Drosophila melanogaster: one gene and its partners. The protein of the gene in region 1 interacts with the protein of each later gene in a pairwise test. Each region holds a gene or a part of one and is shown on either strand. Other genes may lie near its edges.

Region 1 (6,086 bases):
AGTTACAGTAGGAGCTAGTTTATCTGGTCTGCAAAAACCAGATCCAATGTCATGGGTCCGGTTTCCTGGATCCCTTTTCTTCGTAGCTTCATCGGGACGTTGCTCAAAGGTCGATGACTCAGATCCACGTCCTCGTTCTTTAGTAACGTTTTGTATCCCATGAGGGTGCGAAACCCCTTTGATCTTCAGGGGCCAAGCCAGTCTTTTGTTGCACTCACTTTGTGTTGTGATGACATTGGCTCTGGCTCAGGAGAAGTGAGAATGGATCCCATGGAAACATCATTAGATCGCGTTACCTTATAGCGCGTTCAATGAATGGTAGTTATGCATGGACAGGCATGGGAAAATGATGTTGAAGGTGTCGCGGCGTAGGGTAAATGTCATTAACATCATTAATATTACTGTGAGTCCTGCACATCATTGGATCAGCGAATAATGAAAACCCTTTTTCGTAAAATTTCCATTTTTATTATAAGAGAGTTTGGGAAAATCAAATGCAAATATGTTTATGGGAAAATATTACCTCTATGAAACCAAAGGATGGTTTCGTAACCTTATATACATACATATTATGTACATGAACTATATAAATTGACAAAGGTTGTGAAGCATAAATATAAATTAAAAAGTAATGCTTGAGTATTAATATTCTATTGATTTCCAAACGATTTCCCTTGTCCTATGGCTCCCTACATTGTCTTTCTACATTATAATTCTTTTGCACAGCTGTGTGTGGCTGACCCACCCAGAATTTCATGCTTGTCTGCTTTAACCTAGAATTATCACCTCCCAGTTGCTAGAATCTTCCGGTCATTGTTTGCCATCAAAGGAACAACCAGCTGATTTCAGTTGGCAGTTGTGACAAACTCACTGGAGAAAAGAAGTGAAAAAATGACAGGATGCACAGGCAGCTACCGCAGGATCAGCAGGATATCATGAGGGGGTTCTCTATACAGATTATAGATGGCCGATTGCCCAACTGCCTAGCGATATCACATGAAAAATCAATTTTCCCGACGCATTTCCATTTTCCATGCAATTCATTTAGCCTCAATTCCATTCAACTCATTGCGCAGGCGCAACTCGCCCATTTCCGACGCATTTTCCTTTAATTATGCGGGCATCGGATTTCGTATCAAATTAACGAATTATGCTGGCTGCCAGCTGTGTTGGAGCTAACGGATGAGGCAGTCCATCCAGCCATCAGCTCATATCCTTGTACTCGTAGTCTCGCAATTCTCGAAAGCAATCGCATTTACTTGTAGTCCTCGAAGGAAAGGAGAAGCCCAGGCAGATGTGAGTGAGTGTGTCTCTGTTCGTCGGCAACGGCACATTTCCCATATGTACTTAAGCCGGGGAATGCGGAACCCCGTCGTCCTATCTCCACCCCTACCCATCTTGCTACCCCCACTCCGGTCTCGAACCCTCCTCGTGCTGTCTTGAACTACAATTGCAACATTTGCGCGCGCTAAAATGAAAACATTTCCTTTATATACACGAGGCCGACGTCTTGACAAACACACAGATAAGACGAACAGGGGATCAAGAACTGTGGCACGAACTACCACCAAATAAAAAAAAAATTAGGAGTCGTATAACTCGGCTTACCTGAATTCTAGATACTCTTAAAAGAGGACATTATAGAAAATATATAATATTATATGTTTAATTTAAATTGAAAAGTGGTTAAGATCAGAAGAATTATGCCGTCTGCAAATGACTTGTCTAATATTAAATTAACATTAGAATGTTTAAGGAATATGAAATTTTTGTTCAGCTAATATCTAAAAAATCCAAAATTGTCGTGATATTATTTTCTATGTCCACTAATTATTATATTCAATGTTAATGTTATTAGATTAAAATGAAAGTCCTACGAAATGAAAACCATAAACCATTTTTCGTTTGAAGATCTCGGAAATACCCAACCTGAAATGTTGGGTATATCCCACATAGGTGAAGCAATGCAGGATCGTTGAAGCGACCCCTGCTCGAGCGAGGGTTGTTTTCTTTGCCTCCCCTGGGTCTATCTCGTTTCCACACTCTATCCATCCCTTTTCCACTCGCTGTGCCAGCTGGAGGCTATGTCTGCCTCAGGGATCTTGGACAGAAGGTGAGCTCAGTTAGGTTTTGACAGCGGAACGCGTAGGTACAGTGAAACGGGTAGCAACGGGATAGCGGGTTTAGTGTAGCACAGAACGGACCACAAAGTACAGATGAATTAAATACGACTACAGACTACTACCATATTGTTAAACAGTTTACCTAAAAATCCTAAGGAAAAGATAACCAAATTAAACCGAAAGTTAAAGTTGTGTTTATGTTTGATCGTTGAGTTATTGTTATATCGAAAGTTAAACGAGCGTTGTTAATGAGACATTGATACAAAATCCGAAAAGAATCGTTACCAAGTTAAACCGAAAGTCCAAAAAACAAATTCGAAAATGTCTTTCTCCAAGGCCAAGTTGAAGCGTTTCAACGACGTGGATGTGGCCATCTGCGGTTCGCCAGCTGCGTCCAACAGCTCGGCGGGATCGGCGGGCAGTGCCACGCCCACCGCGTCTTCGGCAGCCGCTGCTCCGCCAACCGTTCAACCGGAACGCAAGGAGCAGATCGAGAAGTTCTTCAAGGACGCCGTGCGTTTCGCGTCCAGCTCGAAGGAGGCCAAGGAATTTGCCATTCCCAAGGAGGACAAAAAGTCAAAGGGATTACGTCTGTTCCGTACTCCTTCGTTGCCGCAGCGCCTACGCTTCCGTCCGACTCCCAGTCACACGGATACGGCCACCGGAAGCGGAAGTGGCGCCTCAACAGCGGCATCCACTCCTCTGCATTCGGCAGCCACCACGCCCGTAAAGGAGGCCAAGTCAGCCAGCCGTCTGAAGGGCAAGGAGGCACTCCAGTACGAAATCCGTCACAAAAACGAACTGATCGAGAGCCAGTTGAGCCAACTGGACGTGCTGCGCCGCCATGTGGATCAGTTGAAGGAAGCCGAGGCCAAGTTGCGCGAGGAGCATGAGTTGGCTACCTCCAAGACAGATCGGCTCATCGAAGCCCTGACCAGTGAGAATTTATCGCACAAAGCTCTGAACGAGCAGATGGGCCAGGAGCACGCTGATCTTTTGGAGCGTTTGGCCGCCATGGAGCAGCAGTTGCAGCAACAGCACGACGAGCATGAAAGGCAAGTGGAGGCGTTGGTTGCCGAGAGCGAGGCACTGCGTCTGGCCAACGAGCTGCTGCAGACAGCGAATGAGGATCGTCAAAAGGTGGAGGAGCAGCTGCAGGCACAACTCTCTGCTCTTCAGGCGGATGTGGCTCAGGCCCGCGAGCACTGCAGCCTGGAGCAGGCAAAGACCGCCGAGAACATTGAGCTGGTAGAGAATCTCCAGAAGACCAATGCCTCCCTGCTGGCCGACGTGGTCCAGCTGAAGCAGCAGATCGAACAGGATGCCCTGTCCTACGGACAGGAGGCCAAGAGCTGCCAGGCGGAACTGGAGTGTCTGAAGGTGGAGCGCAACACCCTGAAGAATGACTTGGCCAACAAGTGCACTCTGATCCGCTCGCTGCAAGACGAGCTTCTCGACAAGAACTGCGAGATCGATGCTCACTGCGATACCATTCGCCAGCTGTGCCGGGAACAGGCTCGCCACACCGAGCAGCAGCAGGCGGTGGCCAAGGTGCAGCAGCAGGTTGAGAGCGACCTAGAGAGCGCGGTGGAGCGCGAGAAGAGCTACTGGCGCGCCGAGCTGGACAAGCGCCAGAAGCTGGCCGAGAACGAGCTGATCAAGATCGAGCTGGAGAAGCAGGACGTGATGGTGCTGCTGGAGACCACCAATGATATGCTGCGCATGCGCGACGAGAAGCTGCAGAAATGCGAAGAGCAGTTGCGCAACGGCATCGACTACTACATCCAGCTGAGCGACGCACTGCAGCAGCAGCTGGTGCAGCTGAAGCAGGACATGGCCAAGACGATCACCGAGAAGTACAACTACCAGCTGACTTTGACCAACACCCGGGCCACCGTCAACATTCTGATGGAGCGTCTAAAGAAGTCCGATGCGGATGTGGAGCAGTACCGAGCGGAGCTGGAATCGGTGCAGTTGGCCAAGGGAGCGCTGGAGCAGAGCTATCTGGTGTTGCAGGCGGACGCAGAGCAACTGCGCCAGCAATTGACCGAGAGCCAGGATGCGCTCAACGCACTGAGATCCTCCTCCCAGACGCTGCAGAGCGAGGTATCGTTGAAGGAGTCCTTGCTCCACGAGCTGCTAGCCGGCGAGGCGGAGACGTTGGCTAAATTCAATCAGATTGCAAACTCGTTCCAGGAGCGCATCGATGGCGACGCCCAGTTGGCCCACTACCACGAGCTGCGCCGCAAGGACGAGACGCGCGAGGCCTACATGGTGGACATGAAGAAGGCGCTCGATGAATTCGCCACCGTGCTGCAGTTCGCCCAATTGGAGCTGGACAACAAGGAGCAGATGCTTGTTAAGGTGCGCGAGGAGTGCGAACAGCTCAAGCTGGAGAACATTGCCCTCAAGTCCAAGCAACCGGGATCCGCCTCTCTGCTGGGAACACCTGGCAAGGCCAACCGCTCCAATACCACCGATCTGGAGAAGATCGAGGATCTGCTGTGCGACTCGGAGCTGCGATCCGACTGCGAGAAGATCACCACGTGGCTGCTCAACTCCTCGGACAAGTGCGTGCGCCAGGATACCACCAGCGAGATCAACGAGCTCCTGTCCGCCGGCAAGTCCTCGCCCCGTCCCGCCCCCCGCACACCCAAGGCGCCGCACACCCCGCGCAGTCCGCGCACCCCCCACACCCCACGAACACCACGATCGGCGGCCAGCACTCCCAAGAAGACTGTCCTGTTCGCCGGCAAGGAGAACGTGCCCAGTCCGCCACAGAAGCAGGTGCTCAAGGCGCGCAACATCTAGGCTATTCCTTTGTAACAACTACTCTATCGTACTATTATAAATTATATACCTTAGCTAAGATCCGATTCGAAATATAATCAATACACGTTGCACACAACACAGCCAGAGGTGTTTCTGAAATCTCTTTCGAGCACTCTCCGACTAAATTCCAAATCTGATTGTTTTCTATCTTTCGCGTTTGTGTTCTGGAAATATGGGACTTACCTAATCTCATAAAAAATATCATTTTGATGCAATGCATTTTAAGGCATGAGAAATCAAATAAAAAATCTGAAAAAGGTGTCTTGGAAAGTGAGACCTTCTTTAAAGCTATTTAAATTAAATAGACTCATCTTTGAATGTAACGAAAATAATGAGAATGCATCAATTATTTTTTCCATTTATTAGCCAATTTATTCATATAAGGTCAAATTATCTGTAAAAAAAAAAAAGAAATAAAAGGTATTCTGATCTAAAATGTAGAAGTGTACAGTATCATCACCTTGAACTTCGTTCTTAAAATACGTTATATCTTGTATATGCATTTAAAAAAGCCTGTACCTAAAGAATCAGGAAATTGTTTACGTTTTTCATACCAACCCCGTGCAACTCGTTTTTGATTTCGATGTGGTGGAATTTTCTCATGCTGAAACTCCTCGTTGAAGAATGAGAAGGAAGGGGTGTGGGCTGCCATGCAATCCGATGGATTCTTGCGACGCTGATTACGCACACGTGTCCCTTGGCACCGCCTTATCCCCGATGGTTACTCGATGGGAACGGTTCCAGAGTTGCGCAGTTCCTTAGTTCCTCGAGCGAATCGGAACAGCTGCGCCTGCGCTTCCTCCTCAAGGGTGGCTTAACTCAACCGTCTTTTAAGAAGGGGCCGAAAACGAAGGGAAATGCCCATGCACCACCAACCACTGGTAGTTGCAAGCTCGCTTCATTAACTGTGACTTAAGCCTGTTGACGGGGTTTTCCCTCACCTTTCTTTGTTTTTCCGCTCCTTTTCCTTCCCCGTAAAAATCTTTAGCTGCCTGCATCCCAAGCGACCCTTTTGTCTTGGGCCGCATAATGGCCGCTTATGACCTTTGACATTTTCTGCAATGCTCACAATGCCCCGGGCAAGGTAACTGAAGAACTGGCCCAAGACATGGATTTACTCATTGTGCACAT
Region 2 (5,329 bases), 6.2 Mb from region 1:
ATCACCTCGCACATGTCCTCGGTATCTACATGACATTGTGTTAGAGAAATAATATATCTCTTTATTCAACCAGTACTTACAGATTTCGACTAGCACATTGACCAAGCTCTGCAGGATCGTGTCCGAGTAGTTGGTGGTGATCAGCAGGAAAGGAACAACGGCCACGTCCAGCGGCTTCTTCGGTGCGAATCCCTCCCTAAGCATCTCACGAAAGGCTGCCCTAAGGTGCTGTTCGTGGCACGAGGTCATATAATCGAGGATGCCCGCCTCCGAATCCAGGTGGCAGCGGTAGTCATCGACGAATCGCTTGATGCCGCACTGTAGAATCTGCATGATGATCTTGTAAGGGAAACAGCCGCCCAATCTCGCCACAATCCAGTCGAAGGTCATGGGAAACCGGTGAAAGGCATTGAGCATGATCTCCACGCAGGCCTCCTCCTCCGGTTGGGTTAACTTTCGGAAACAACTATTTATAAGGGTCATCAGCCCGTGCATGGCGCTGCACTCCAGCCAATAGTTGCAGCTGGCCGTGATGGTCATCCGCCGCTGGGTGTACTTATCGGACAGCTTGGCCACTAGTTCCAGACTCCAGTTGGCGATGAGCGGCGACCAGGCGGGCGGTCCCTTCCACACCAGACTCTGCAGCGCGGTCTTTACCAGATTGAAAGCCTCGTATTCCGGAGCACGTTGCTGCTGCTGGCGATTCCCGGCCAGCTTCACCTGGGATACCGGCATACCGGTCTTTGGGTCGGCCATCTCCGGCGACACATACAGCTGCACACTGATTTCGGCCAGCAGGGCGAAGTATTCGAACACAATGTCTCGCGTGGCGGGCAGCTCCTCCAGGAATCCCAGTCTGCAAATATCCATGGAATTATTTACTACGGGCATCATTATTAACCACCGCGGTTGCTACTCACGCGAGCTTGATGAGATTGGGGCTGGTCAGCAGCTGCGGACAACTGTGCCCATTGCTCACCGTCTCTATGAAGTGCTTAAGCTGATCCAACAGGTTCTGGCGCAGCATTTTGTCGTCCTAGGCATCGGGAACGCAGCACCGAAGTTGGCCAAGTGAGCAAATGCATCGCAGCAGCGGGTCGCTGCGTCTTTCACTCGGAATACCAAAACGACGGGGCACAACTGCAGGCATTTGGAATCCGCCGCCACCTGGCCACACTAAGGCGGCAGAAAATTCGAAATTCTTTAATATCTGAAAATCATAAAATTAACAGAATAATAAATATCTTAGCACTCTAACGTGTCATTACATTCATTATAAACTAGCACCTGAGATTAGTTTAAGATGACACTTTACATTCAAGTTAAATTAAGCTGGAAAAGATTTCTAATCGGAATTATGTGTTTACTACAATGCTAACTTTCGAATCGAGGATGTAATTACTGAGTAATCAAACTGTTTGCTCTTTTTAATACTAAGTAAACGTACTTATAGCTCTATTTTCTAATTTTATAATATTTAACGTGTTTTTGTTTTAAAATATTATCGTAACAGTAGGGAGTGCGAAAAACGGTAACACCAAAACCCAGTTCGTGCATTATTGCACACTCTTTTGGGGCGAATCAAGAGCGAAAGACAACATGGCGTCGAAGCGGCGAATCTGTCTCGCAGTTTGTCGTGCTGTTTGCTTTTTTCTGCTCTGATTTGTACAAATATTCATTCAAGGTGCTCCAGTTTTGCCAAGTATATGTTAATAGAGTACCATAACAATGGTGGCGTCACAGGGGTGCTAGAGTTCGATATCGATAACAGCTCACATTCTCGTCATATGCAACTATCGCTGTACTCTCTGGCCGAGTATCGATACGCAGATATTATCGTCGTGGTCAGACCAACGCTCTAGCGTCGGTCCGCGGAAAATAGCGAAAATTACAATTATCCGGGAAGATATATTGGTCGAAAACTAACTCGTGATCCCCCAATAAATATGCGCAAGAGAAAATTGTATATAAACTGATCGAATGCAGCCAGCGTGCTAAGCACTAAAAGCGAAAAACGCCAGAAACAGAAACAAGGAATTGCAGCGTGAGTGTATAACTTTTTGGTTTTTGCCCCCGCGCTCTTTCTCTCTCTTTGCTGCTCTCTCTCTCCCGCTCTCTTTTGCCCTCTTGCGGCTTCTGTGTTGTCTGCGTGCTAGTGTGTGTGTGTTTGAATTTTACTGTGAATGTGACCGACGGTGTGTTCTCACGTACTCCGTGGATGATTTGCGGCCTTGCCAGGGAATCGGACTATATATCCCGGCAATAGCCCATATTGGATCCCGATTTTGAATACAACTCGGCTGATTTGCTTCTTTCAGTGTCTCCCCTTTTATCGCACTTTATGCAACAACGCATACCGTCGTGTTGAATTTCCTCGCTCTCCGCTGTGTGTGGTTTGTAGGTGTGCGTGTGTTCGAGGTGAGTTAGCCGTCGTCTGTTTTTCTTTTCCCTGCGTTTTGTGTGCGTTTCAATGAAATGCAAAATCGCCAGCGAATATCGCGGAAATGCGCTGCTCCTAAATATTATGTATACATAAATAAAGTATCGAATCAAAACAAAATCGGCTTGCAACAACAACAAAAACATTGCAGAGTGTGGGTGGCGCGTGTAGCGATCAAAATTGCGTGCATGTGTAATGTGTGTGGTGGAGAGACGGCATTTTTCTTTACCACACGCCTCTTCTTCTTTCCCACAATACACTGCAATTTTTGCGATTCTGTTTTGCGCCTGCCATTCGCAATAATTTTATTGAATGAACCGCAAAAGAGACGGCCCAAAAAGCGATGTACTTGCCAGACGTTGTGTCTGTGTGCGTCCAAGTGTCTGTAGCGCGTTGTGTGTGTATCGCGTATGAAAATACATCAACTGTTGGGCATCAACAAAAAAACGGAATCAAAAATTTATAATAAAAAATGAAAGGAAATTAGCTGACTTTGTAATCGCAATCGGAGAGTGTTTACTTGCTAAATTTTCGAGTTCTCCGCCCGTCTCTTTCCCTTCATCCCTCCTGCCTTCACCGCCAATACCACCCCAAAAAATTGCATACATGCACACACGCCTTCGGTTGTGCGAGTGGTTTAGTGTGTGAGCGCGCGCGTATTCTGCACACATTGTCATGCATGCAAAAAACAAGATACGACGCGTTCGCAATCGTTAGATTCCGTCTCCCCCAATTCATGGCGTTTCATTGCTGGGGGCGAAAGTAAGAAGATAACGAAAGGGATATGCGAACCACTTCCTAATGAAGTCCTGCATCCTTAGCTTTTGGATTCCCACCTCTTCGCCTTCTCCTTCTTCACACGGACACTTGCAGCGTTCGCGCCCATGCGTGTGTATGTGTGCGAAGAACAGGAAGAGAGCAGCGAGACTCCAATTATCCATTTACAGTTGCGGTTGAAATGATGGAGCATAGTTGTATTATTTGTATTCACACAATTACCGGTGGTATTTAAAGTCTTAACAATATTTATTAATTTCCTGCTACCTTCCTAAATTTTATTCATAGTTTTAATACTGTACCCAAGTACCTTAAGTTCCCTAATCAGATGTAAACTTGTTGATAGGCATAATTCCTATCTTAGTTTGTATTTTTGTCTACTATAACCTAAACTTAATTCTACTACGAATTTAATTACAACATACTAAGACTGTAATCTACAAACCAAACGAAAATGCCTTGAATAAAAGAGGTCTAGTGATTCATAATACGATTTGCACACGTGTTATTAACTAGGTAGTAGCGAAATAGAGTCAAAAAGGCCACCGACTTGTTCACAACTGTATCTCTTACTAACTTCCCTATAAAAACTAATTGTTGCTGGGGCGAAAAAATACTGCCAAGTTGTCATATTTGCCGGACTTTATTGATGACTCGACTCCAGAGCTCTATATTTCGCACACAGATTTTCTCTCGGCACTTTTCGCAACCTTCTGCGGCCGCTGGTTATTAATAAAAATTAATAATAAACGAAATCTGTGGCGCTGTGCGGCACTTGGACACACTTATGTACACATGAGCATTCTCGTGTTTTTCGCAGCTGATTGCGTAAACGAAACCGCTCGCTACGTTTGTTTTGAATTGCTACTTTTGTTTTGGTACCGATTCAGACTTGGAATCCGATTCAGTTACAGATTGAGATTGAGATTGAGATACTCAGGCTCTCCGCCTGGGCTTCAATTCTCCTGCGGGCGTTATCAGTGGCCTATGGCGCTTTATTGGAATTACCATGGAAGTGGGAACTTAATCGCTGTGCAAATCGCTTCGAAACAGCGCAGCACGCATTTTCCCCGACGTCTTGCAACCTTGGGCGAGTGGCACTGCGGGCGGTGGGTGGTGAGCGGTTGGGTGATCTAGAGTGACGTAAATATTTGTGGTGGACAGTCAACATTGAGGTGGCGCTCTTCAACGATGACGTAGCTTTTGCCACTTCTGTTTACTCGCACATTATTTCACACACTTCTCCATTGATTTTCGCCGTGCAGATAACGAAATAGTGGACTGATTGTTAACTGTGTATAAATGAAAATATGGGTATGATATGTGTTTATTTACACTTTTTTTCTGTGTACGAGAATGGTTAGATTACTCCCCTTCCTCGTTTTGAGTCACCCGCTCTCTGGCCCTCGCCGCTGTTTGTTTTCTTCGCGCGCGTGTTTGCTCTCGCCGTGGGGCGAAAGCGCAGCGATAATAGTGGCTCAGATATAGTGTATACTATATGTATAGTAAACCTACTCATACCGAAAACCCCATCGCACAGATACGGATACATTTACAGATACACGCGCGCACTGCGGAAGGCCTAGATCTAATGGAAAACGCTAAATGTTTGTAAACAGACCGGGCACATTTCTTTTCTTTTCTTAATTATTTTTTGCATTTCGCATTTTAGTTGGCATGGTCTTCTCACGGCTTCTCTCTCTTCACACATCTTTCTTCCGAAAATACACTCACACACACGCACACCGAACGTAGCTTTCACATTTTCATTCATCGCAATCTTCGCCATGAAGTGTTGCAAAGGCCCCAAGATAAGATATAGGATGCACTTGGATACCTTAACCTCACCTTTTTGCGACAATAGCACACGAATAATCCAATTTTTTGTATGACGTTGTTGGGCGAACAATTTTATAAGTCTTGGAAAGGAATTTCTGTGCTGTGTTGATACACAAAACAACAAAATAATAAAAAATTATAAATGGTATTGAACTACTGTACTAGTGAATAGTTTGAACCAGACTTTAAATTAAAGGCAATTATGATGTTGAAAATATTTAAGTACCTTTATGCATGCATATAGTTAAAATACAATTTTTTAGATAACAAACA
Region 3 (5,727 bases), 8.6 Mb from region 1:
ATGATGACAGGATGGACAGGACTGATGGCTCGTTGGGCAGGGAGTTGGAAACCGCAGCTGGTGGCAGTGGGCCTACTGCACGCCACCACCTTTGTATTTGTGCATAACAACTTATGAATCCATAAGCTATCTGGCAATCTCTTTATGAGCAGCATTCCCAATTTCTCTCTGATATCCTGCGAAGGCCAACCAAACCATACCGAACCATAGCAAACCAAACCAAAACCATATCGAGCCCGAAGCAAAAGCAGAACGGGCACAGTGGCAAAGTCAATAGCCAATGCCATCGATAAAGCCATAAACTTCATGTACTGGGTGGAGATTGTGGGTGCTGCTGTTCCTATCCGGCCTAAACTGCGCCATCCCAGACCTGTGCCCGCGTTCTATCCATTTCCGGGAATACGCGGCGTATGAGTAACGAGCGCGATGCGTAGGATTAAATGCAGGCGCTGCCTAGTTCCGATCTGTGCCTCCTCGTCTATATATCACTGATATACATATATATAATATATATATACATATATATATGTACATATATATGGACACATATATCTCTGAGCACGTACATAGAGAATTGCAGTGGCTGTCGCTGCACTCGCCCACCAATTTTTCTCCGCTTTTTTGATGCGCTTTCCCAGAACCCCCATGTGCATGAGTTAGTAGGAATTTATGCTGGCTCTATTATTGTTGCTCTTGTTGTCGCGGATCCTTTTTGGCGGGGTATGAGTGCGGACGACGCTCTACATTTTTTTCAGCTGCAGTTTTCTTTGCTGGATATTTTAATGCCAACTCTGACGATATACCAATACCAGTGCCAATAACCAACACCCATAAATGGCGGCAAAATAAAATAGGAAAAAAATGTGTGTTGCATTCGCGCAGGGGCAACATAGAAAACTTTTACGTTTCGCTTAGGGTTTTGCTTTATTTTTTGCTTTCAGGTTTCCCTCTTCTTTTTTTGCGATTTTCATTTTGTTGCTTTGGCATTGCAAATGAAAACGAAAAAATTGCATTTTCCCCGCATATGGATGTGTGTGAGAAGCACGAAATCAAAACAAAACATGGCCACATGGCGGGTCCTGTCGGCTGGTGGGTGTGCGGATGGGATGTATGGATGCATGGACGGATGGGGCACATGAACAGTGCACAGCCAGGAGCAACAGCTCCCACAGCTGCCACACTACCTCCCTGCAGATGTATCTGTATCTGCGAAATGGTATGGTCCATCTGGCGGGAAAAGGGGCTGGGTTTTAGGTACACTTAGGCTCGATAGCTGCAGTTTTTCGCCACCCAGTCAGCGAAACAGACCACCACGCAGTTGCCCAGTCCAAAAACCACCTCATCAGTCGTTTGGGGGTTTGGGTGTTCCATACTTTTTGGCGTTGTTTGATTTTTAGGCGCAGCAAAATGCGTTTTGCTCTTGATTGAAAGTGTGAAGAGTGTGGGGCAGCATGCCAGCGTGTGTGTGTGCGATATGTGCATTGTCCGTGTCCTTCTCGCAGTGTGCATGTATTGGCGAGGACGCCGCTGCCGCTGTCGTCGCGCTTTGTTTTGATTTTTCGCGACTGAGCGCGCGTTGCTGTCTGTTTCTCTCTGTGTTTTTGGATTTGTCCAGCAATGCATATGTGCGCCCACTGTTCTAGTGGGTGTGTGTGTGTGTTTGTGGTTGTGTGCGAGGTTTGCATGTATATGTACACTAGCAGCTAGGAGCGGCGCTGACGTCGCAGTCGCAGCAATTTTTTGCGCCAAAGCCAAACCAAAAAGGACGAGGACAATTCGGTTGGCGCTGCAGCTGCGACGTAGCCGCGGAATTTTTTTGCGCGTTTCGCGCCCGGCCAGCGGCCACTTTCATCCGTATCCACGTATCCAAGTATCCACATCCGCATCATCCTACTCCATCAGCGTTAGCATCAGCGGCCGAGGGGCTGGCGTCCCTCATAATCAACGCGCTGCAGCGACGACGCCATCGACATCGACAGCGGCTCTGGCTTTGGCTTTGGCTCTGTGACTCTGGGGCCCGTCATCGTTAGCAATTTTTGCCAGGACATTGCAACAGAAAACTGCTAAACGCGAAACAAGTTGCGGCGCTTTTTTCTGCTCCTCGGGTTCTCGCTGTCTCCCTGTCCTGGCCTGTCCTGAATCGAACTGAGCCGTGCTGCCAGGATCAGGCAGCAGCAGGCAGCAGACAGCAGGCAAGGCACATCAGTAGGCAGTGCAAGGCAGGCAGGCAGGCAGTCGGCAGGCAGGTCGCCACTTCTCGCAGACTTCTTCGCATCTGCATAAATCAAACCCAGAGGCAGTAGCAGAAGCAGTTAGCCACCCCAAGAAAAAACTCTACAACAGAAAAATACCGAAAAACAAAAGAAAAACAAACAAACAAATAGAAATAGAAAAGAGAGACATCGAAGCAGAGAAACGATAGGAGAACGAAAAAAAGTGCCAAGTGAATGTGAAAGTGAAAGTGTGTGCAAAATGACTTGAAGTGCAAGACTAGACACCTATGTACGTACCACCTACACCACCCAGCCTGGAACACACTACGTATACGCAATGCGGCCCAGGCGCTCATACGCCCCGTTGGCCCGCCAGCCCTTCGAACTAAGACTCGGGCTGGGGCTCGAACAGCCATCGCTCGCCATGCCGTCTTGAGTGCAAAAAATTACCCGCCAAAAACCCAAAAACACACACGGCCGGCTTGCGCCAAAGACAATGTAAGCGCCGGCACTAGAATGTAGAGCAGTTTTTTCTTCATTTCCCAAAACTAACTAACAAAACCAGCCAGCCAACAACAAATAACAAAATAGACAAAGTTACATTTTTACCAATATCGATAATATTAATCACTTGATAATCAGCGCCAGTCAAACGCAACATTTCGTTCGTAAACAACAACTACAACTAGCCACAACAAAGCAAGTCAAAGCCAAGAAGCAACCAAATAAGCAGGCAATACCAGTCAGTCCGTAACGTCAGCAGCAGAAACCAACGAAAAACCAAAATAATAAAGTAAAACGATTGAGTAACTCCAGTTTCAGTACCGCACCGATTCCGATTTGAGCAAAAATTCAAGCGTCTGAATTTGATTTCGATATCGTCTGGCCCGTTCCGTCTTCAAGTCTCGGCCAAAGGTTCGTCATCGTCCCGACACACTCTCAGTTTCTACAAATTCAGACGTAGATCCTTAGTTAATTCACCTTTTGTATTGTGCATTTCGGCAAGCAAATATTTTGGAAAGGATCCCCAGAGAACAAAAAAAAAAAAAGGCGAAGAAGAGCAGAAGTCAACACTCGAAATCGAAAACTACGAAATTACCTGAAAATTTTTAAACAACCAAAAAGTCTATGAATGCAACAAAAATTACACGCTAAATTTTACAAGTGCAAAATTTTCTTATAATAATTTATCAAAAAAATAAAAATAAATTTACAAAAAAAAAAAAAATTAAAAAAGAAGCATAAAAAAACGGAACTTAGTGAGAAAATTAATCAAAGTTTAGAGAGAACATTAAATGCAAACGGAATATCAAAAATTGTTGTGATGTGATATTTTTTCGATGTACTTTTATTTGAGGGTAAGTAAAGATCACTATCAAAAATTCATTTTTCAACCATTACTCCATTCTTTTCATCAATCATTGACTCATTGGGGTTTATTTATCTTTTCAGAATTATAGAATTTAGATAGAGAAATAAGGGAAATAAATACATTCGAAGCGTATATTTTAAGATCTAGGTAATTTAAAGATGTTCTGATTAAGAAAAGTATCTATTATGGGATGCTTGATCATAAGAAAATGATTAACAGTGAGCATTTAACTACTGATCATTTTTGGAAGAGAACGAGAAGAGAACGACATTTAAGACAAATAGTAAATGGATAATATGAGTGTGAAACATTGAGCAGTATTGATTTTCATTAGAAAAATTAGGAAAAGGTTCATTCTTTAATTATAATGTTATCATCTAAGTTAAAATCAATTCAAAGATATACTCTTTTTAAGGCACAAAATCTATTTCACCAACGAAAGAAAGCAGGGCAGTCAAATTTTAGTAACTTAGCTAAACAGCATGTTTATTTCAAAGCGCCAAAATAATAACCATATTAATTGCTACAAGTAAATATTTAAGAGGAAATGTCTCCTTTGGAGTTCCTTAGTTCAGTGGGTCTGAAGATCGCAGAAGTCTTTCTCCGCGATTGAGCTCGGCACTTCCTCCCAAAGTTCTTCGTGTCCTGTCGTCGGGTGACGGCGTTCAGCTGCAGCAGCAACATGCAACAGCATCGTGTTGCTGGTGTGCACGCGGCTCTCCCCAGCAGCAGCAGGTTTAGTTGTAGTTGTAGACTTTTTGCTTTTCTACATCCTCACACACATACAGGCACACAAACGCACACAGCAACAAACACGAGTGCAAGACGCGAAGTTTTGGAGGCATGCACATAATGTAAACAAGGACATGCGCAATGCACCGCGCTGGCTTTCCCCGCTTCCACAACAGGAGAAGTGCATTGCAGGCAATGCAATTGCCAACTAGAAGATAGCAGCAGCCAAAGGGGCAGTGGGTGGCTGGGCAGGATTTTGGTCGCTTTTGGGGGGGGGGGGGGTGTGGTATTGGCGATGGGGTGTTGCTGGGTGGCTGCTTCATTTACCAACGGCTGCACTAGTAAATAGCAGATGGCAGCGAAGTCGGCGTCGGCATCGCTGTCGACGCCAACTTGCCACAGTTTAGATGGGAAAAAAGGAAAACTCCAAAGAGCCAGAGAGAAAGACAGAGTGAGGGAGAGAGAGCGAGCGAGAGTGGGTGAGAAAGAGAGAGCGAGGGCTGCGCAACGAGAGTGGCGAGTGCAGCCGAAAGGATGCAATGCTGCAAGGCAATTGCACTCCAGGACTCTCACACACACACTTACGCACACAAACGCATCCGCAAGCAGCTAGACTGAGGCGGTTGCTTCTTTTTTGGTTGTGTTGTCTCTTTTCGGCTTATTTTTAGAAGTCCTTTGCCCCCTCGCCGGCGCACATCCCACCCCAGCCCCCTTGGCTGCATTTTATTTACTTGACCAGGCCTCGGAAATTTACATGGCCAGCCGTGGGAGGGGGTTGCAGTATCCACAGCAGTAGCAGCAGCTGTTCCTGGAGCCCCAGCACGTGCAGCAAGCAACTGCCCTTCAGCCGCCCAGCCGCCCAGCCACCCAGCCACCCAGCTGCCTGCGTGATTTGTGCGTTGCCAGGATGCTGATGCTGATGATGATGGCGATGGCGATGATGAGGCATCTCGTAATGATCTGGGGCCGGGAAAAAAGGGAGCAGGAGGCGGTGGTGCAGCTGCATTTCCTTGCCAGCAACGCCGTGCGTGGTTGGTCGGCTCGAAAAAGGGTCGGCGGCACTGATGGGGGTTGGGCTGTGATGGGCTGGCTGGATGGATCGAAGTGTGGGCGCGTAGACATTGCGTAGAGTTGGAGCCAATTTTTTTCTATTTCTTGATGGGCAACCTGGTCCGACCGCCTACATCACCCATTCCACCGCCCCCTTTTTGGACCGCGCTTCATTCGCACATCGAGTGGTCAAAGTACATAGATACCCCATGCCCATGTGTCATGTGTGTGTGTGTGTGCTTTTTGCGCGCGCGAACTTTGGCCAAAGGAAAAAAACTTAAACAGAGATGCTTTTACATACGGAGGGGGGGTTTTTTCGGATGGCTCGCTGCATTTTGCGCGTCTGTAGCTTTTTTTGGC
Region 4 (5,532 bases), on another chromosome or scaffold:
ATCAGCCAGTTCAACGAGCTTAGCGCCAAGTACGCGTGGGTGCAGATATTCGAGAACAAGGGAGCCGCCATGGGGTGTTCCAATCCCCATCCGCACTGCCAGATCTGGTCATGCTCGTTTCTGCCGACGGAACCGCAACTGAAGCAGGAGCGTCTGCGTGCCTACTACGCCACCAACGAGCGGCCCATGCTGGCCGACTATGTGGAGCGTGAGCTGCAGCGCCAGGAGCGGATTGTCATTGAGAATCGCGACTGGTTGGTGGTGGTGCCCTTCTGGGCCACTTGGCCCTTCGAAACCATGCTCATCTCACGCAACAACAATAAGCGGATCAATGATCTTACCGCAGAACAGCGATACAACTTGGCGCTGACCATAAAGGAGCTGACCACCAAGTATGACAATCTGTTCCAGTGTTCATTCCCCTACTCGATGGGTTGGCATGGAGCACCGACTGGGCCGGAGCATGCCCACGCATCCAGTGCTCATTGGACCCTGCACGCCATCTACTATCCGCCGCTGCTTCGTTCTGCCTCCGTGCGCAAGTTCATGGTGGGATTTGAGCTGCTGGCCATGGCCCAGCGGGATCTGACTCCCGAACAGGCAGCCCAAAGGTTGCGGGAGGTCGATGGAAAGTGTCATTATCTAGAGAAGTGATTTCGCTCGAGGGTATTTGTAGAATCCCAGATGGTTTAGAATTCAATAAAAGGAAATAGTCTAATACGACTGTAGTAATTACTTCATACTTATTCGCAATCAGTTGTAAAATGTTCTAGATTAGTGATTTGACTGTGGCGAGGGTCCAGCCAATGATCAGCATGATTGCCAAAGACCTCTGGAGGTCATGCAATGCAATCATTGATTTATCAGATAAGCTCAGGAATAATGCGACTTTGTGTTACCTAATGCAAAAGTGGGGAAAATGTTCTTAATCGATTAAGCGATTTTTTCTAAGCAGAAAAGGCGGGAAATATGATTTTTCATAAAAGAGCTTTTCTGAGCAGACCAAAAAGACAATTTGGCCTACAAAGGAAGGGGTATCAGATGGTCGAGGTACTCAAATGAATCGACGCCATGTGTAACTGTAACAATTACCGCACTGTCACAATCACTTTTTCCTTTTCAAATCATAAGTTTTCCATTAAGCTAACCAAGTCTATTTTATATAGAATATATGGCAAAATTGAGTAGAATAGTATAAGTTTAACTAGCTTACTTGGAACTCCGTTTGCGGCTGGGGCGGTTGGCTCTGGATGATGGACTCGTCACTGATTAGGTTCGGCTTATTTTTGTTTTTGAAGAAGGCAGGCATGCACTCATTGTTGTTGTTGTTGTTCATGTTTAAGTTAGCTGTGGTGGAGCGGGTCCGGAATCTTGTGCCGTCCGAGGTGCGCCAAATATTCATGCGGCGAAGCCTTCCCTCCAACTCAATGTCGTCGCAGGTGGCGATGCGAGGCATCACAAAGCTCTCCTTGGACCTGTGCATCAGGGCATTGAACATCCCGTTGCGAATGTCCATCAGGCGGGAGCGGGTATAGCTCTTGACCGGCTTGCTGCTGACCACCGGAGCAGTAGTAGGACGAACAGCCTTGGGTGCTCGCAGACTTCCTGGCTTGTGAATGCCTGTGCTGGGTGGACGCTTTTGCTGCACCTGACTAGACTGCTGCTCCGGCACGGCCTCCTTGCTGGCCACTTGCTTCCGCGGCGAATCGTGCTCCAGGTCACAACTAACGGCCGTGCAGGACAACATGCTGGAGGGCTGTGTGTACGGTGTGGATGCTCGGGCCGAGAGAACTTGCAGGGTCAGACCCTCGTCCTCGTGCAGATGCTTCGAGGGTCCATGCATCGGAATGGCCTCCCCCGAAATGGATTCGAGGATTTGATTCTGTTTGGCCAGTAAATTGATGATCTTACAACGCCTCTCCATCTCCACAATAACGGCGGGCTTTTTGGTCTGCAGCATAACAGCCGTGGATGTGGATGCCAACATGGATCCATCGCCGATCGTTTCTGGGTTTGAGCGCCTGGGTAACATCTCCAGGGCCACCACATTCTTGTTTTTGATGGAACGAGAAGACTGTTTGCCAAAATAAAAACAACATTGAAAAAACTTCATGATATATGAGAGTGCCTGTCTGTACTCGATGTAAAATAAGTGTCGAATATATGAATGCCAAGTCAAAGTTTCTTTAACTAAATTTTTAACGACATTTGTATCAGAGCTGCTCTGATTCCTAATACCATTTACGTGTTTAATACTGTGCTTTGTTGGCCAATAAATATTGCGAAGATTTTAGACTAATATCAAGTTTGACTCAAGAAAAGTTAAATTTAAAATGTATTTCAATATAAATATATAATCTGACAACAGTGTGCACTGCTAATAATAAAATTAAAAATGTTATATGTAATGAACTCACCTCAGGGCTGGCCTTTAGCGTCCGCTTGTTGGCCTCCAACTTGGTGATGGCCTTCTCCAGTGCGTCCTTCAGCTTGAAGGCGGGCAGCTTGAGGTAGCCCAGTCCGGTGGCCAGGAAAGCGCTAGTCGGCAGCGGAGGAGGCGGGGGCGGAGCGCACGGATCCTCCCACTTCTCGGAGTTGGCCTCGTCGTCGTCATGCTCTTGACTGGCATTCAGAGCGGTGGCCTTGGTGGCTAGCGGAGCCTGGACTGGAGTTGGTGGCGGTGGAGGGGGCGGGTACTCGAACTTGCCCTTCTCAGCGGGGGTCAGCACCTCATCCTGCTGATCTTCGACTGGCAGCGGAAGCTGCTGATGCGCTGGACGATCGGTTGCACCCGCATTGGTGGCAATTTTCAGGGCGCCAGCGCCATTTTCTTGCTCAGCTTCGGCCATTTGCATAGCATGGCCATTCAATTCGATCGCCTCCTCTTTCATAGGGTCCATACTCACTAATTGTTGGTTTTTTTTTTGGTTAAAACTTAAAACGAGTACTTTTGATCGGGTCAAATATATTGAAATGTATGAGAAATTGAACGAAATCACGTTTAGCACAGGTTCGTTCGATCTTAGGATCCGTTATTCGGCGCTGCTACGATGAGTAAGCAGGACAGGAATAGGAAAAAATACCGAAAGCGAATGGTGGAAGATGGAGGATGGATTGACCAGTGTTGACAAACACTGATCTGCGACTTATACAGCTTTCAAATAGTTAATTCTTTGATTCCTAAACAAAACAGCGAATTTATTAATAATGCGCTACGACATTTACTTTTGACAACAGAAAGTAGCTAAGCCTGGAACGTGATAACTTTGGAAACTAGTACTTGTGATTCTTAAGATTTCGATTACATAAAAGCCGTTATTCTGTTACAAATTTAAAAAATTAAGTGCAAACGATTTTAACGTACTGTATCTTATTATTTGACAACTATACATATGAATATAGCGGAGCACACAAACCCAAAATTTAAATGAATTTGAGCCAGCACTTTGGCAGAAGGGTGATCGCCGTGCGACACCCGTGGCACCAACTGGGTGCAATTCGTCACTCGTTCATGGAATCCGGGAGGGAGCTGCTGGATTCGGGGCACCGCTCGGGCACGATGGCAGATGGTAACCGCGGGTAAACCTCCACATTATCGTCCACTTATCCAACTCCCAATACCAAGCACAGTGGCGAAGAAAATCCGTGAGCACGTCGGCGTGGAAGGAGGCTACCACATCATTCCCAAGAGCCGGGATGGACTGCTCAAGTTTCAGCCGAAGCAAGACGAACTGCCCAATCGCTCCATGCTGGACTCACAAACGACTGCCCAGGTGCTCCTGGAAACAGATGCTCTGTTGAGGCAACGATTCGTTTACGGGCGAGGCTTGCTTCGCATGGGCAGGATAATTGAGGAACTTGACCTTCTTGCAGGTAAGTAAGTAAAGTATACTAACTAACTACTCCAAATACCTGATTAATGAGAGTGGCCTTGCAGTGTGGATCTGCCATCTTCACATCCATCTGCCCAATCTGCCGGAGGGTGTGCCGCTGCCATACACTTTTATCACCATGCTGGTGGACCACGCCCACTTCTTGCAAGACAAGTTTATTGCGGATGCAGATGTGTCCCTCTCCGGTCACGTTTCATATACGGACAATAACTTCATGGAGGTCACGGCATATGTGCGACAAAGCGGAATGTTGCTGGCAAAGGGCATTTTTGTGGTAGAGGCTCGCGATGCCATCAATAATGGCCCTGCTCCTGTCAATCCTCTGGTGCCGGCCAATGAGCTGGAAGAAAGTTTACACCAGGAAGCGCAGAAGCGGCACCAGGAGCGTGCCAAAGCGTTGTATCGCCTGGAGTCGCAGCAGCCCACCAAGGAGGAACAGCAGCTCATGTACGAGCTATTTACCCGAACCAAGGGCGATGACGGACCTTCGCCGAGTGATATGACTACTCTACCACCGAATTCCCGCTGGATGTCCACGTGGCGCCGCAGAACCCTGATGCATCCGTTCCCGGAGAACCGAAACGAATCGAACACCATTTTCGGAGGGTTCATCATCCGCAAGGCTATCGAGATTAGCTACATGACAGCCTCCCTCTACTCCAACCAGCGTTGCATGATCCGCTTCATTGCGGACGTTACGTTCGCCCATTCCATTCCCGTCCATAGCTATATAAAACTGAAGGCGTACGTGGTTTTCACCCACGAAAACTACATTCAGCTGCTGACGGTGGTGAATGCAATCGATGGCAATAGCTTTACGGAGCTTAAGTGCAATGTGCTGCACCTGACCTACTCCTGCAGCAAAGCAGTTCCGGAGATCCTTCCCAGAAGCTATCACGAGGCGCTGTGGTACCTAACTGGTCGTCGCTACTTCAATCGATTCCGTGAATCAGTAAGTCACGACATGGACAATGGATCTGCCGTAGAAACCAATGGAGCGAAAAAAGACAATTAGAGATTGGATTTAATAAAACATATGCTGTCGATTTGCATTATAGATATTTTCATTTGATGAATTAATTGAATATACACATTTTTTCAGCGAAACGCCGTTTATTTAAACATATATGTAAACATATTGTGAACACAAAACCAAATATGACTACAATAATTTATCCTTTGCATGTTATTCGTACACATTGTTTGTTAATTAATTCGGTTGACAGGAAAAAATGGATTAAGAATACATTTTAAAAACCACTAATTATAAAACTGCACATACACATACCACCATGTATGACTGGAATTCTTATGAACAAAAAAACATTGATTATTGCCCTAACAACCGAATCCCCGTGGAGCTAACTCTTTGGTTGGGCAACTGAGCCAGCAGCTGCGGGTTCGCTGCTACCTCAACTGTTCGAGCGGGCCGCCTCCCGCTTGCCCTGAATCCAGCTCTCAATTTCCTGCTTCAGAGCCTCGTTGGACTTGACCTTATCCATGGTGAGCGGTTCGCGGTTAAAGGGATCGGTCTGATCGCTCAGAAGATGACGGGCGATGGTGGAACGATCCACTGTTACCTTGGAGCTGGGCAGCACCACAGGGTCGGTCATAAGCGTTGAGATAATCGGATCGAGGT

The links.
Region 2: the proteins of mira (region 1) and flfl interact in a two-hybrid assay, tested with the Drosophila melanogaster proteins (one study listed by BioGRID).
Region 3: the proteins of mira (region 1) and pros interact in a two-hybrid assay, tested with the Drosophila melanogaster proteins (2 studies listed by BioGRID).
Region 4: the proteins of mira (region 1) and cup interact in a two-hybrid assay, tested with the Drosophila melanogaster proteins (one study listed by BioGRID).

The regions. Positions count from the first base shown.
Region 1 is NT_033777.3:19,931,032-19,937,117, reverse strand, and holds mira (miranda), read left to right. Parts: upstream 1-2,119; 5' UTR 2,120-2,444; coding exon 2,445-4,934; 3' UTR 4,935-5,084; downstream 5,085-6,086.
Region 2 is NT_033777.3:13,682,107-13,687,435, forward strand, and holds the start of flfl (falafel), read left to right. Parts: upstream 1-1,814; 5' UTR 1,815-2,044; intron 2,045-2,318; 5' UTR 2,319-2,418; intron 2,419-5,065; exon of another isoform or gene 5,066-5,104; intron 5,105-5,329. Other genes in the region: omd (oocyte maintenance defects), read right to left, coding at 1-25, 81-856, 921-1,027. UniProt on the Drosophila melanogaster protein: Regulatory subunit of serine/threonine-protein phosphatase 4. The probable PP4 complex Pp4-19C-PPP4R2r-flfl (PPP4C-PPP4R2-PPP4R3) is required to prevent caspase induced cell death (in vitro). May be involved in DNA damage repair.
Region 3 is NT_033777.3:11,326,386-11,332,112, forward strand, and holds the start of pros (prospero), read left to right. Parts: upstream 1-2,094; 5' UTR 2,095-3,571; intron 3,572-5,727. UniProt on the Drosophila melanogaster protein: Homeodomain protein that controls neuronal identity. As a transcriptional factor, regulates the expression of ftz, eve and en in a subset of neuroblast progeny and modulates the transcriptional activity of other homeodomain proteins such as Dfd.
Region 4 is NT_033779.5:6,661,473-6,667,004, reverse strand, and holds the start of cup (cup), read right to left. Parts: upstream 3,342-5,532; 5' UTR 2,856-3,341; coding exon 2,418-2,855; intron 2,075-2,417; coding exon 1,214-2,074; intron 742-1,213; exon of another isoform or gene 655-741; coding exon of another isoform or gene 1-654. Other genes in the region: Galt (Galactose-1-phosphate uridylyltransferase), read left to right, coding at 1-654; CG13771 (uncharacterized protein), read left to right, coding at 3,428-3,569, 3,631-3,873, 3,938-4,908; Ube4A (ubiquitination factor E4A), read right to left, coding at 5,306-5,532. UniProt on the Drosophila melanogaster protein: Adapter protein that plays a central role in localization of transcripts in the oocyte and in young embryos. Maintains RNA targets in a repressed state by promoting their deadenylation and protects deadenylated mRNAs from further degradation.